3 linked regions of the Callithrix jacchus genome follow. The protein of the gene in region 1 interacts with the protein of each later gene in a pairwise test. Links are inferred from orthologs where the notes say so. Each region holds a gene or a part of one and is shown on either strand. Other genes may lie near its edges.

Region 1 (3,702 bases):
CCAGGATGTGATTTAATGAGCAGTTTATCTAACCAATTATGATGGATCTGATATCCGGCCTTGAGGCTGAATTTCTCCACCCACTCTTAACGGTCCAGGACTACACTACCCAGAATGCAGTGGAAGCAGACAAGCGCAACAAGGCATTAAATAAACTACATTTCCCACTACCTCAAAGACGGACTTCCTCTTCTTGCCCTAGGGAAGTGGCTCCCAGCCAGAGCTCAGGCTTTTGGTAAACACACACATCTGTTCAGGCCTGACCTGTTTTCCTAATCTTCCTGGACCACAGAGAGGCCTAAAGCTGGCCTCAGGTTAAAGTTTGACCCTAGGATGACCTGTGACCCCAGGCTGAGACCCCAGCCTTAGGCTAAGCCTCCTATTCCGGAGTGAGGCAATTGGAGCCCCACTGCCAGATTCCAGGCTAAACTGGACTTTGGGCTGAACCCAGGTGAACTCCCTCCCTGCAGTCGAGCCCCAGCTTCAGCCTGAAACTCTGACACCCATTCGCCCCCCGCCCCCCGCCACATACTGAAGTTTAATCTCTGGTTTAGGCGACCGATCTGGACTAGTCCTGACTCCAGATTGGACCTGAACCCTGGATTGCTAATCCGTCTGGTTAGGCCTCCGACCTCAGTTTGAGACCCAATTCCCACCGTGGTGCTGGCCTGGGCTGAACCCTAACTCCAGTGTGAGTCTCTGACCAGAGTTGAGCTCAGAACTTTGCTAGGCTGAGCCCCCATTTCAGACGAGCCACTGAACTCACTGCATTCAATTGCCCAACTGTGATCTGACGTTTTCTAGCTCAGAAGCCACCAGCAGGTGGGGCCAGGTCCCAGCAGAGCCATCAGTCCCAAAGCTCTCCTCCTGGGTTTCCCCGTTATCTCTCTGTCCTGGGATCTTGGGTGCTCTGTGTAAGGGGAACGTATCCTCAAGGGCCCCCCTGCAAGATCCCCCGCCTTCTCTGTAGCTACAGAGAAAGGGCCAAAGGCTGGAGAGAATGAGGGTGGGAATCCCCGGTGTCTCCTCTTCTCTTTCATCCCAGCGCCTCAAAGGGATTTATAAGGTGCGAACAGACTTCTACGGGAGAGGTGACAAACTTCCCATCCCCTGGGCCCCAGACGTCTGGGGGAGGGGCGGAGTCGGAATCCCAGGGGCAGTACTGAGAATTCAACCAGATTCAATCTCCATGGATGAGACTGGAAAATGGGCAGATGCAGGCGCGGACTGGACCGCAGCCGAGGAAGGGCCTGGGCCTCGCATCACAAGGACAGCCCGTCCTCAGTTTCCCAGCGCAGACTCTGGGGGAGGGAAGGCAGGATGCGGTGAGGGAACTAATGGACCCGGCCTTGGCGGAGGCGCGTCCCGGGCTGGATCGAAGTCCTCATCCGCCCTGTGGCCGGAGGGACCAGACCATTAGTGGGACGAACCTAGGCGCCTGGAGCCGGGCCGGCTCGCAAGAACGGGGTGACCTCAGGATCCCCCTGCAACGGGGTTGAGGAAGGACTTTTTGGGTTTGGAGTTTTAGTGTCTTGGCCCTTTAAGGAATAATTGCGGAGAAAGGGGAAAAGGAGTTGGGAAGACGAGAGGGGTCCCGGGGACTTGGAAAAATGGGTGGGGGGTTCTTTAAGGGGTCGGTCCAGCGGCGTCGAGCGGCACCTTTGCTTTAAAAGGGGGCGGGGGATTCCGTTGAGCCCCGCCTTCTCGGGGCCCCGCCCCTGAAGCGCAGGGCTTTGGCTCCGCGCGGGCGGGGGTGTGGCAGAGCGTGCAGGGGGGCGTGGAAGAGCCTGGGGTAGGCGGGGCCGGGCGGGGTGGGGCGGGGCCGGGCGGGGTGGGGCGGGGCCAGGCGCACCGACCTCGGCAGAGTCTCCCCGGGGAGGGCGGCGGGCGGCGGGCGGCGGGGACCGGGAGCGGTGGTGGCTGCGGCGGCAGCGGCGGCGGGAGCAGCATGGATTGGGGCACTGAGCTGTGGGTAAGTTCAATCGTCCCGCCTCTAAGTTCCCCCTTGCTGGGGTCCAGGCACCCCCGCTTTTGTCCCCAGCGTATCTTAGAGGGGGACTCCGCGCCTTTCCCTTCCACCGACCCTTGGGTCCCCGCCCTCCACCCTTCGCCCTCTCCCGGAGTTTATCTGGGAGTCTCAGCACGTTCAGGGGCGAAAGGCTACTTTCCCGGACCGGCGTGGGGAAACTGAGGCACAGGGTTGAGAGTGAGAAGGGCAGAAGGAATCCTGGGGCGAGGCCGGGGCGGCTGGGAGAGGTCACCTATTTTGGGCGCCCTGGCGAAGCAGGCGGCTTATCTTACGGCCCCTGGGTCCCTGCCCGTCGTCCTCCTGTCCGGCAGGGAGGGGGGAGGGGACCCTCTGGTCACCCTCATCCCCACCCACGTGGGACCTAGAAGTCCTCTCCGCCCTTTTCCTCGCCTTTAATTAACACCTAGGGGCTGGGGACGCTCCTGGAGGGGAAGGGTGATGTTAAGCTCGACTTGACCCCCCTCTCTGGCTTCCCCCTGCTCGCCCAGGCCCAGGGCAGGACTGCCCACTGGTCGCCTCTATCCTCAGCCCTGGAAGCCCCAGAAATTTCCCCCTATCCTAGCCGGACCTCTGACCCCTCCCATTCCTGGGGGCGGTGGAATCCCTGAGTTCTTAGTGCCGCGGGGGTAACCAGACCTCCATCCCCTCCTCCAACTCTGCGATTTCTTTTGGAGGTGTAGTGGGGTCTCTGGGGGAAATTGAGTCACCTACTGGGGGATCCCGGGAGGCAGGGAGATTCAGAGAACCTGGTGCTTGCCCCCTGGCCACTCAGGGGCCCTCAGTTTGCGAGGAACCCTTCCCCTCTGGCCTAGACTCTAGCTGGGCCGGCCGGATTTTCCGGAATCCGGGGGGATTAGGGAAGCCTGAGCTGGGGGAGTGGCCCTGCCCCCTTCCACGCCCCTCTTGGTGGTCTTAAGTCGGAGACCCCCATCTCCCGGCCGGGGTGGCTGGGGCCTGGGCGCTGTTCTCCGGCCCTTCCCGGGAAGGCGAGGGGGTTCCCGCCAGTTTCCTGCCTCCCCACCGCGCCACGCCTGGGCGGCGCCGGGAAGCCACTCCTCCTAGGAGCGCAGAGCCTTGGGGTTCCCTGCGAGTCTACGGTCGGCGGGCTGTGGGGTCCCAAGATCTTGACCCGGGCCCCTCCCCCCTCCTCCCCCACCATGCCTCCTGCCAGGATCAATTCGAGGTGCTCGAGCGCCACACGCAGTGGGGTCTGGACCTGTTGGAGAGATACGTAAAGTTCGTGAAAGAACGCACCGAGGTGGAACAAGCTTACGCCAAGCAACTGCGGTGAGACCCTGGAGTGGACGCTACGGTGGGCGTGCCTGGGGCGAGGGATAGGGTGGGAGGCTGTGGGCTCAGCCCTCCTCCCTCTGTCTCCCCTTAGGAACCTGGTGAAAAAATATCTGCCCAAGAGACCTGCCAAGGATGATCCTGAGTCCAGGTAAGGGTGGAGAGGGGCTGCAGGGCCAGATTTGGTGGGGGAGGACGGAGCGTGGGTCTCCCTTCCCCTCCCGCGGCTGGGACACCCCACCGCTCATCTCACTTCCTCTCTAGAGGTGAGAGCTTGGATGTAAGATACGGGATTATCTGTGTTGGAAGCCTGAGTCCGCTACTATGTAGATGAATTGCCTTGGGTTCTCTGCCTCTATTTTCCTTAACTATTAAATACTGAG
Region 2 (2,910 bases), on another chromosome or scaffold:
AGAAGGCTGAGGTGGGAGGACAGCTTGATCCCAGGGAATGAAGGCTGCAGTGACCCATGATAGTGCCACTGCACTCCAGCCTGGGTGACAGAAGGAGACCCTGTCTCTAAAAATGAATAGGCCAGGTGCAGTGACTCACGTGCTGTAAGCCCAGCACTTTGGGAGGCCAAGGCAGGTAGATCACCTGAGGTCGGGAGTTTGATACCAGCCTGGCCAACATGGTGAAACCCCATCTCTATTAAAAATACAAAAAATTAGCCAGGCATGGTGGCAAACGCTTGTTAATCCCAGCTACTTGGGAGGCTGAGGCAGGAGAATCGCTTGAACCCAGGAGGCAGAGGTTGCGGTGAGCCAAGATCGCGCCACTGCCCTCCAGCCTGGGCAACAGAGCGAGATTCTGTCTCAAAAAAAAAGAAAAAGAAATAATAAAATTCAAGTGCAAAGTGCAGTGAGGAGTCCTCATTATTCACGTGGCCACAGAGATTCCTTCCACATGCTGATCACATTTGCTTGGTAGAGGCAGCCTAGATCACAGCCATGAGGGAGAAGGTCCTTATTAATGAGTGATGTCTGTCAGGGTAAAGGAACGGGGACATCTGGCATGTGCGTGACACTGGTGGTTTGTGGGCTTTTTGAGGACAAGGACTTAATATGATGGACCCTTGTGTCTCCAGTGCCCAGCACAGGGCCAGACAGAGAGTTGGGGTCACAAACGCTTTGCTAAGTGGATGCGTCTCTTTGTCCCAGGGACCAGGCCCAGCTGGACGCAGCCTCCGTGTCTTCCATCCAGGTGGTGGGCGTAGTTGAGGCGCTGATCCAGAACGCAGACACCCTCTTCCCTGGAGGTGAAGCTCTTGTCTGAGTGGATGCCCTTCAGGGTGCCCTCCCTCTGCCCTGCTCCCTCCCCAGCAGCCCCACAAACTCACCCTAAGGCCGGGAGGAAGTTGTGTCTCTAATCTGAGCCTCAGTTTCCCATTTCTACAATGGGGCTGCACGGGAGCCGGGAAGCTGACTGTGGTCCAGATGGGTTCAGGGGAGGGGAAGGCGGCCCAGCCGGTGGAGGGGAGCCTGGCGCAGTCTCTCAGAGCCATCTCTACTCCTGTCCCCAGACATCGACTTCAACGTGTCAGGCCTCTTCTCAGCCGTCACCCTCCAGGACACGGTCAGTGACAGGCTGACCTCTGATGAGCTTCCACCCAGCACCATGCCCACCTCAGCCACCACCCCAGCTCCGGCTCCAGCTCTGGTTCCAGCCCCAGCCTTGGCCTTAGCGGCTACCAAGGAAAGGTGAGGACTGAGTGGTATGAATGGCTGGCTCCTGTGGCAGTCCCACAGACAGCCTGCCTGAGGCCCCATGTCTCAGAACTAGAAGCTGAATTTTTGGAAATGTAATGATTAGTCTTTTTTTTTTTTTTGAGACAAGGTCTTAGTCTGTTGCCCAGGCTGGAGTGCAGTGGCACAATCTAGGCTCACTGCAACCTCCACCTCCCAGGTTCAAGCGATTCTCCTGCCTCAGCCTCCCTAGTAGCTGGCATTACAGGTACCTGCCAGCATGCCTGGCTAATTTTGTGTTTTTTAGTAGAGACGGGGTTTTACCATGTTGGCCAGGCTGGTCTTGAACTCCTGACCTCAGGTGATCCACCCGCCTTGGCCTCCCAAAGTGCTGGGATTATAGGCATGGGCCCTGCCTGATTAGTATTTTCATCTCAAAGACCAGATCTCCCAGTTTGGAGAGGATGGGTTGAGCCAAGATCATGCCACTGCACTCCAGCCTGGGCAACAGCAAGAATCGTCTCAAAAGAAACGACTGGCCAGCCACAGTGGCTCATGCCTGTAATCCCAGCATGTTGGGAGCCCAAGGCGGGCCTATCATGAGGTCAGGAGTTCCAGACTAGTCTGGCCAACATAGTGAAACCCTGTGTCTACTAAAAATACAAAAAAATTGGTGACAACACAAATTGGGGAAAAAAAAAATACAAAAACTTAGCCAGATGTGGTGGTGCGTGCCTATAATCCCAGCTACCTGGGAGGCTGAGGCAGGAGAATCGCATGAACCCAGGAGGCGGAGGTTGCAGTGAGCCAGGATCGTGCCATTGCGCTCCAGCCTGGGTGACAGTACAAGACTCCTTCCCCCACAGAAAAAGCACGTGGAGGCCCTGAGCTGAGGCAGAGGTCAGGGCCTGTGTCCTACCGCCCAGGCAGGTGGGGCTCCCTCCTAGTCCCTGGAGGAACATGGACTCCATCACAGAGTCACAAAGCAGCCAGGAGCTCAGTGGACGCAGACCCCTACCAATGCCAGAAGCATCTTTGGCAGGGGTGTGTGGCCTGGGGACAGATCCCAGGAGCAGCCACAAGGTGGTAGAGAGCGGGTGCTGGGAGGACCCAGACTCCACCTGGCAGCTGGAGCCTCACCAGGATTCCATGAGGCTTCTGGGAGGTGGCCAGGTCTGCCTCATCCTCTCCTTCCCTCCGCAGGACAGAGTCTGAGGTGCCGCCCAGACCAGCCTCCCCCAAGGTCACCAGGAGCCCCCCGGAGACAGCTACCCAAGTGGAGGACATGGCTCGGAGGAGTGAGTTGGCTGTGGGAGGGGACAGGCAGTCCCAGGTCCTCCTATCTTTTTAGGCAGCCAGGGAGGCAGGAGTCAAGGTGATCAAAAGCCCCGGTTTTGCCACTGGGCGCTCTGAGTTTAGATTTGAGCTCTTTGACTTTGGGCAGGTGAGTTCACCTGTCTGAGCCTCGCCTTCCTCCTCTGTGTAATGGGACAATAACTGCACTTACCTTATGGGGCTGCATGGAGCCTTCAGTGGTGCTGCAGAAAGTGCCTGGTCCTGGCACATAGCTAGTGGCCACTGAAGAGGAGCCGGCGTGAGTACTGGGGCACCGGAGTCCCGTCCCTCCAGAAGCCCAGA
Region 3 (3,746 bases), on another chromosome or scaffold:
ATCTAGCAATAAAGATTTTTAAAGAGAGTCAAAGGTCAGGCCCAGAATGACAGCCCTAGCATGAATCACCATCTACTCTATCCACTTCACATTTTCCCATACTTGGGCCCGTACCATCACGGTGATCTACTAAGAACTCAAATACCAGAATTAATGTCCACCGTACATTAACCATGGAATAGAAACCACAGCAGACCCTGGGAATCAAAGGAGACACAGCAAGGCCTTTCAACACGTTTAATCTAATAGAGAACACACACAAAGGCAGTCACAGTACAGAAAAACAGGTGCTACCCGGGATTACGATAACGCTCAGGAGAGACATCCAATCTGTGCTGAAGCATCAGAGAAGGCCTTCCAGAGGCAAAGAGACCTTTCCTAGAAGACTGAAGAATGAGCAGGAGGTGCCTAGAGAAAAGGTGTGGTGAGAGAGGCTTCCAGGAGTTCCAAGTAGATGATAACAGGTAAGAAAGCAAGACCTCCTGTGGAAACTCAAAGTAGGCAAGCATGGCCAGAATTTTAAATGTGAAGGGGCCAGGCAAGATGGCTCACACTTGTAGTTCCAGCACTTTGGGAGGCCAAGGCAGGCAGATGACTTGAGGCCAGGAGTTCAACACCAGGCAACATGGCAAAACCCCATTTCTACAAAAAATACAAAAATGAGGCAGGTGTGGTGATGGTCACCTGGAGTCCCAACTACTTGGGTGGCTGAGGTGGGAGGATTGTTTGAGCCCAAGGAAGTCAAGGCTCCAATGAGTCAAGATCGCACCACTGCACCCCAACCTAGGTGACAAAGAGAGACCCCATCTCAAAAAAAAAAAAAAAAAAAAAAAAAACATGTGAAGGGAGAAACCTCTGAGATGACTCAGGAGGTAGAGACCCTAAATAGCTTGGTAGATTTAAATCTCAGAACCTTGTATAAAAAGAGTGAATGTCCCTTACCTGTCACGAACAATGTGAAAAGAGGCCAAACTGACTATCTGACAAATTATCTTGGCACTTACTAAACACTAGTTCCACAATGCACGTTGCTCAGGACACTAACAAGGGTACGAAACTCGCAAGGAATTATCATGTGCTTTAAATTGTTCCTTGAAACATCAGCCCCCTTTACTACACGTCTACCTTCCTCTCAGCATCATTTCTTTAATTTTCCTGCAAATAACAGAAAAGTAGGTGTGTTTGGGTTTTAAGGGCAGGGATTAACCCTGAAGATAAGAAAATTAATTCTCACAATAATACGGAAGGGAATCGAAAATAATTAAAACAAGGAAACTAAGCAAAAAGATGGAGGAAATGAAACAGTAAAAGGCAAATTTAGAAAACTCAAGAGGAAGTAAAAGTATTTTCATATACTCAGAAAAAAAGAAGTGTCCCACGTGCTTCAGACAAACCAAACTCCCCTTAACTGTTAAAAAAAAAAAAAAAAAAGAAAAACTTTAACTTGAGGAGATAACCGCTGGGGGGGAATAAAAGGAAAAGTAAAACAAAAGAGCTGTAAAAAATGCATACTTCCATATCTCTTTGCTGAATAAACACTAAATTGGTACAGTACAGCCAGTTGCCCTGGAAGACCTTGAAATATTAGCCCAGATAATACAGCACATGACAGTCACTTCCAGAAACTCTCAAAAACCACAAATCATTTCTTGTTCTGAACACCTGATCTACCAACTCTGGTCTATCCTGCCAAGGAATAATCAATAACGTTTCTTGTCAAGCACTTCAGCCGTACGAAAGAAAGAGAAGCATTTGTTTCCAAACGTACAGTGAGACTTTTTAAATTGGCACAAGGTGTCTCCATAATACTTTTCTGCCAATTCCAAATTTCTAAATGTCAAGAACTGGCAGCAGCAGTCCAGTTCCTAGGAGCCCTCGTTTTGAGACAGCACCACCTCCGAATTCCCTCAAAGGGCGTTCTGAACTCACTGAGCAAATCCGACTGGCTTTCCTGACCCTCTAGCCATTTTTTGCCGCCATGCACTTACAGGAGAAGGACTCGCAACAGCGGGAGCACCCGGAAAGCCTGGGAATGCCGCCCGCCACCGCACAGTGCTCGGCACAGCGTTAGGGACAGAAGTCACTGGAGTTGAGCCCAGGGCAGCGATCTGGGCTGGCTCGGCCCCGGGAAGGGAGGAGAAGGACCAGGTCTACTCCCCGAGGCCGATGCTCCCGGGGCAGGGACAATGGGCAGGGGACCCTGCGAGGTGGCGGCGGCCCGCCCCAGCAGGTCTCAGGGGCCCGGCGGCGCGGGGAGACTAGCGGGCCGCCAGGAGCGCGGAGCTCGGGCCTCAGCACGGCACAGCCCCCGGGCCGGGGCCCCGCTAGTCGCGGGCTGGGCTGCGGCCAGGTCCGGAGCCACCGGACAGAGGAGAAGCCGTTCCCCCCTCCCCCGCCCTCCGCCCCCAGCCCCGGCGCGACCCCCGTGCGGCCCGGCGCACTCGCCTGCCCACTGTCTGGTTAGCCAGCTGCTTCATGCGGTTGAACTGCTTCTTCATGGCGGCGGTGGCGGCGGCGGCCCGCGGGGCTCGGGCCGGGCAGGGCGGGAGACAGCCTGGCAACTACTACATCGCTTCCCTGCCCAAGCGGCGGCGGCAGCTACCGCAGCGGCGGCGGAGGCTGAAGCTCCCCGGCCGGCGGCCCCGCCCTCGTCGCGTCACTTCCAGTGGCACCGCCCTCCCGCCCTCCAGATCCTGGCCGAGCCGGGCCGGGCCGAGCCGAGCCGAGCCGAGCCGAGCCGAGCCGAGCCGAGCCGAGCCGAGCCGAGCCGAGTCTAGCCGAGCCGAGTCTAGCCGAGCCGAGCCGAACCGAGCCGAGCCTACGCTAACAGCCTAACCTGACCCGGGCAAAGAGTGAGAAGGTTCCGGGGTCGCAGAATGCTAGTCCTTCTCCGCCCCGCTCCCCGACACCAGTGTCGCTCTGCCACCCTCTAGTTTATTTCAGCACATGAAAATCTGTTTCTGGCAGGGTGCGGAGGTTCAGAGCTGTAGTCTCAGCACTTTGGGAAGCTAAGGCGAGCGGATTACTTGAGGTCATGAGTTCGAGAGCAGCCTGGCCAACGTGGTTAACCTTGTCTCTACTAAAAATACAAATTTAGCCGGGCGTGGGGGTGGGCGCCTATAATTTCAACTACTCGGAAGGTTAAAGGAGGCGATTCACTGTTACTGCACTCCAGCCTGGGCAACAGAGTGAGATCCTGTCTCAAAAAAAAAGAAAAGAAAATAAAGGGCAAAGTGTGTTTTCCTTAAAACGTGCTCACACAGTCAGGGAAAGGCATTTGGGGGTTGCCCTTTTGGAGCCCTTGTGGTTGGCTGGGGCTGCATGTGGCACTAGGGAAAGGCACCAATGCAGACGGGAAGGGGGCCAACCCAGTAGGCCCTTCTGATCAAGCAGAGGCCCATGGTCACCAGAGACTGGCCCTAGTGAGGCCCCAGGCCAGGCTTCTGCATTTCCAGGCAGTGCCCTGCCCTTGGTGGGCCTCTGAGCAGGCGCTGACTAGAAACACATGGTTGTAAGTTTTTCCCTTTGTTTTAGAGATGGCATCTTGCTAAGTTGGCCAGACTGAGCTTGGATCTGACTGCACTGGACCCTTCTGTGAGCGGACCAGCTCAGTTCTATGAACCACAGCAATGTCTTCCGGTTTGGTGGCCTTGACGCCAGCTCAGACCGTTCCTTGGGGTATATGGGCAGCAATGTGGCTTCCTTCGTGAGCCACATCTCAAATGCGCTCATAAATGTCATAGAAA

The links.
Region 2: the proteins of TRIP10 (region 1) and SH3BP1 interact in binary tests that used the Homo sapiens proteins (3 or more experiments, as listed by UniProt). The two-hybrid records come from large-scale screens. The link is inferred for Callithrix jacchus from reciprocal best matches to the Homo sapiens genes TRIP10 and SH3BP1.
Region 3: the proteins of TRIP10 (region 1) and ARHGAP17 interact in binary tests that used the Homo sapiens proteins (3 or more experiments, as listed by UniProt). The link is inferred for Callithrix jacchus from reciprocal best matches to the Homo sapiens genes TRIP10 and ARHGAP17.

Annotation. Positions count from the first base shown.
Region 1 is NC_133523.1:6,329,415-6,333,116, forward strand, and holds the start of TRIP10 (cdc42-interacting protein 4), read left to right. Parts: upstream 1-849; 5' UTR 850-1,000; coding exon 1,001-1,066; intron 1,067-1,862; exon of another isoform or gene 1,863-1,948; coding exon of another isoform or gene 1,949-1,972; intron 1,973-3,200; coding exon 3,201-3,316; intron 3,317-3,413; coding exon 3,414-3,470; intron 3,471-3,702. UniProt on the Homo sapiens protein: Required for translocation of GLUT4 to the plasma membrane in response to insulin signaling. Required to coordinate membrane tubulation with reorganization of the actin cytoskeleton during endocytosis.
Region 2 is NC_133502.1:208,649,118-208,652,027, forward strand, and holds part of SH3BP1 (SH3 domain-binding protein 1), read left to right. Parts: intron 1-747; coding exon 748-845; intron 846-1,109; coding exon 1,110-1,287; intron 1,288-2,475; coding exon 2,476-2,570; intron 2,571-2,910. UniProt on the Homo sapiens protein: GTPase activating protein (GAP) which specifically converts GTP-bound Rho-type GTPases including RAC1 and CDC42 in their inactive GDP-bound form.
Region 3 is NC_133513.1:25,595,252-25,598,997, forward strand, and holds the start of ARHGAP17 (rho GTPase-activating protein 17), read right to left. Parts: upstream 2,632-3,746; 5' UTR 2,499-2,631; coding exon 2,446-2,498; intron 1-2,445. UniProt on the Homo sapiens protein: Rho GTPase-activating protein involved in the maintenance of tight junction by regulating the activity of CDC42, thereby playing a central role in apical polarity of epithelial cells.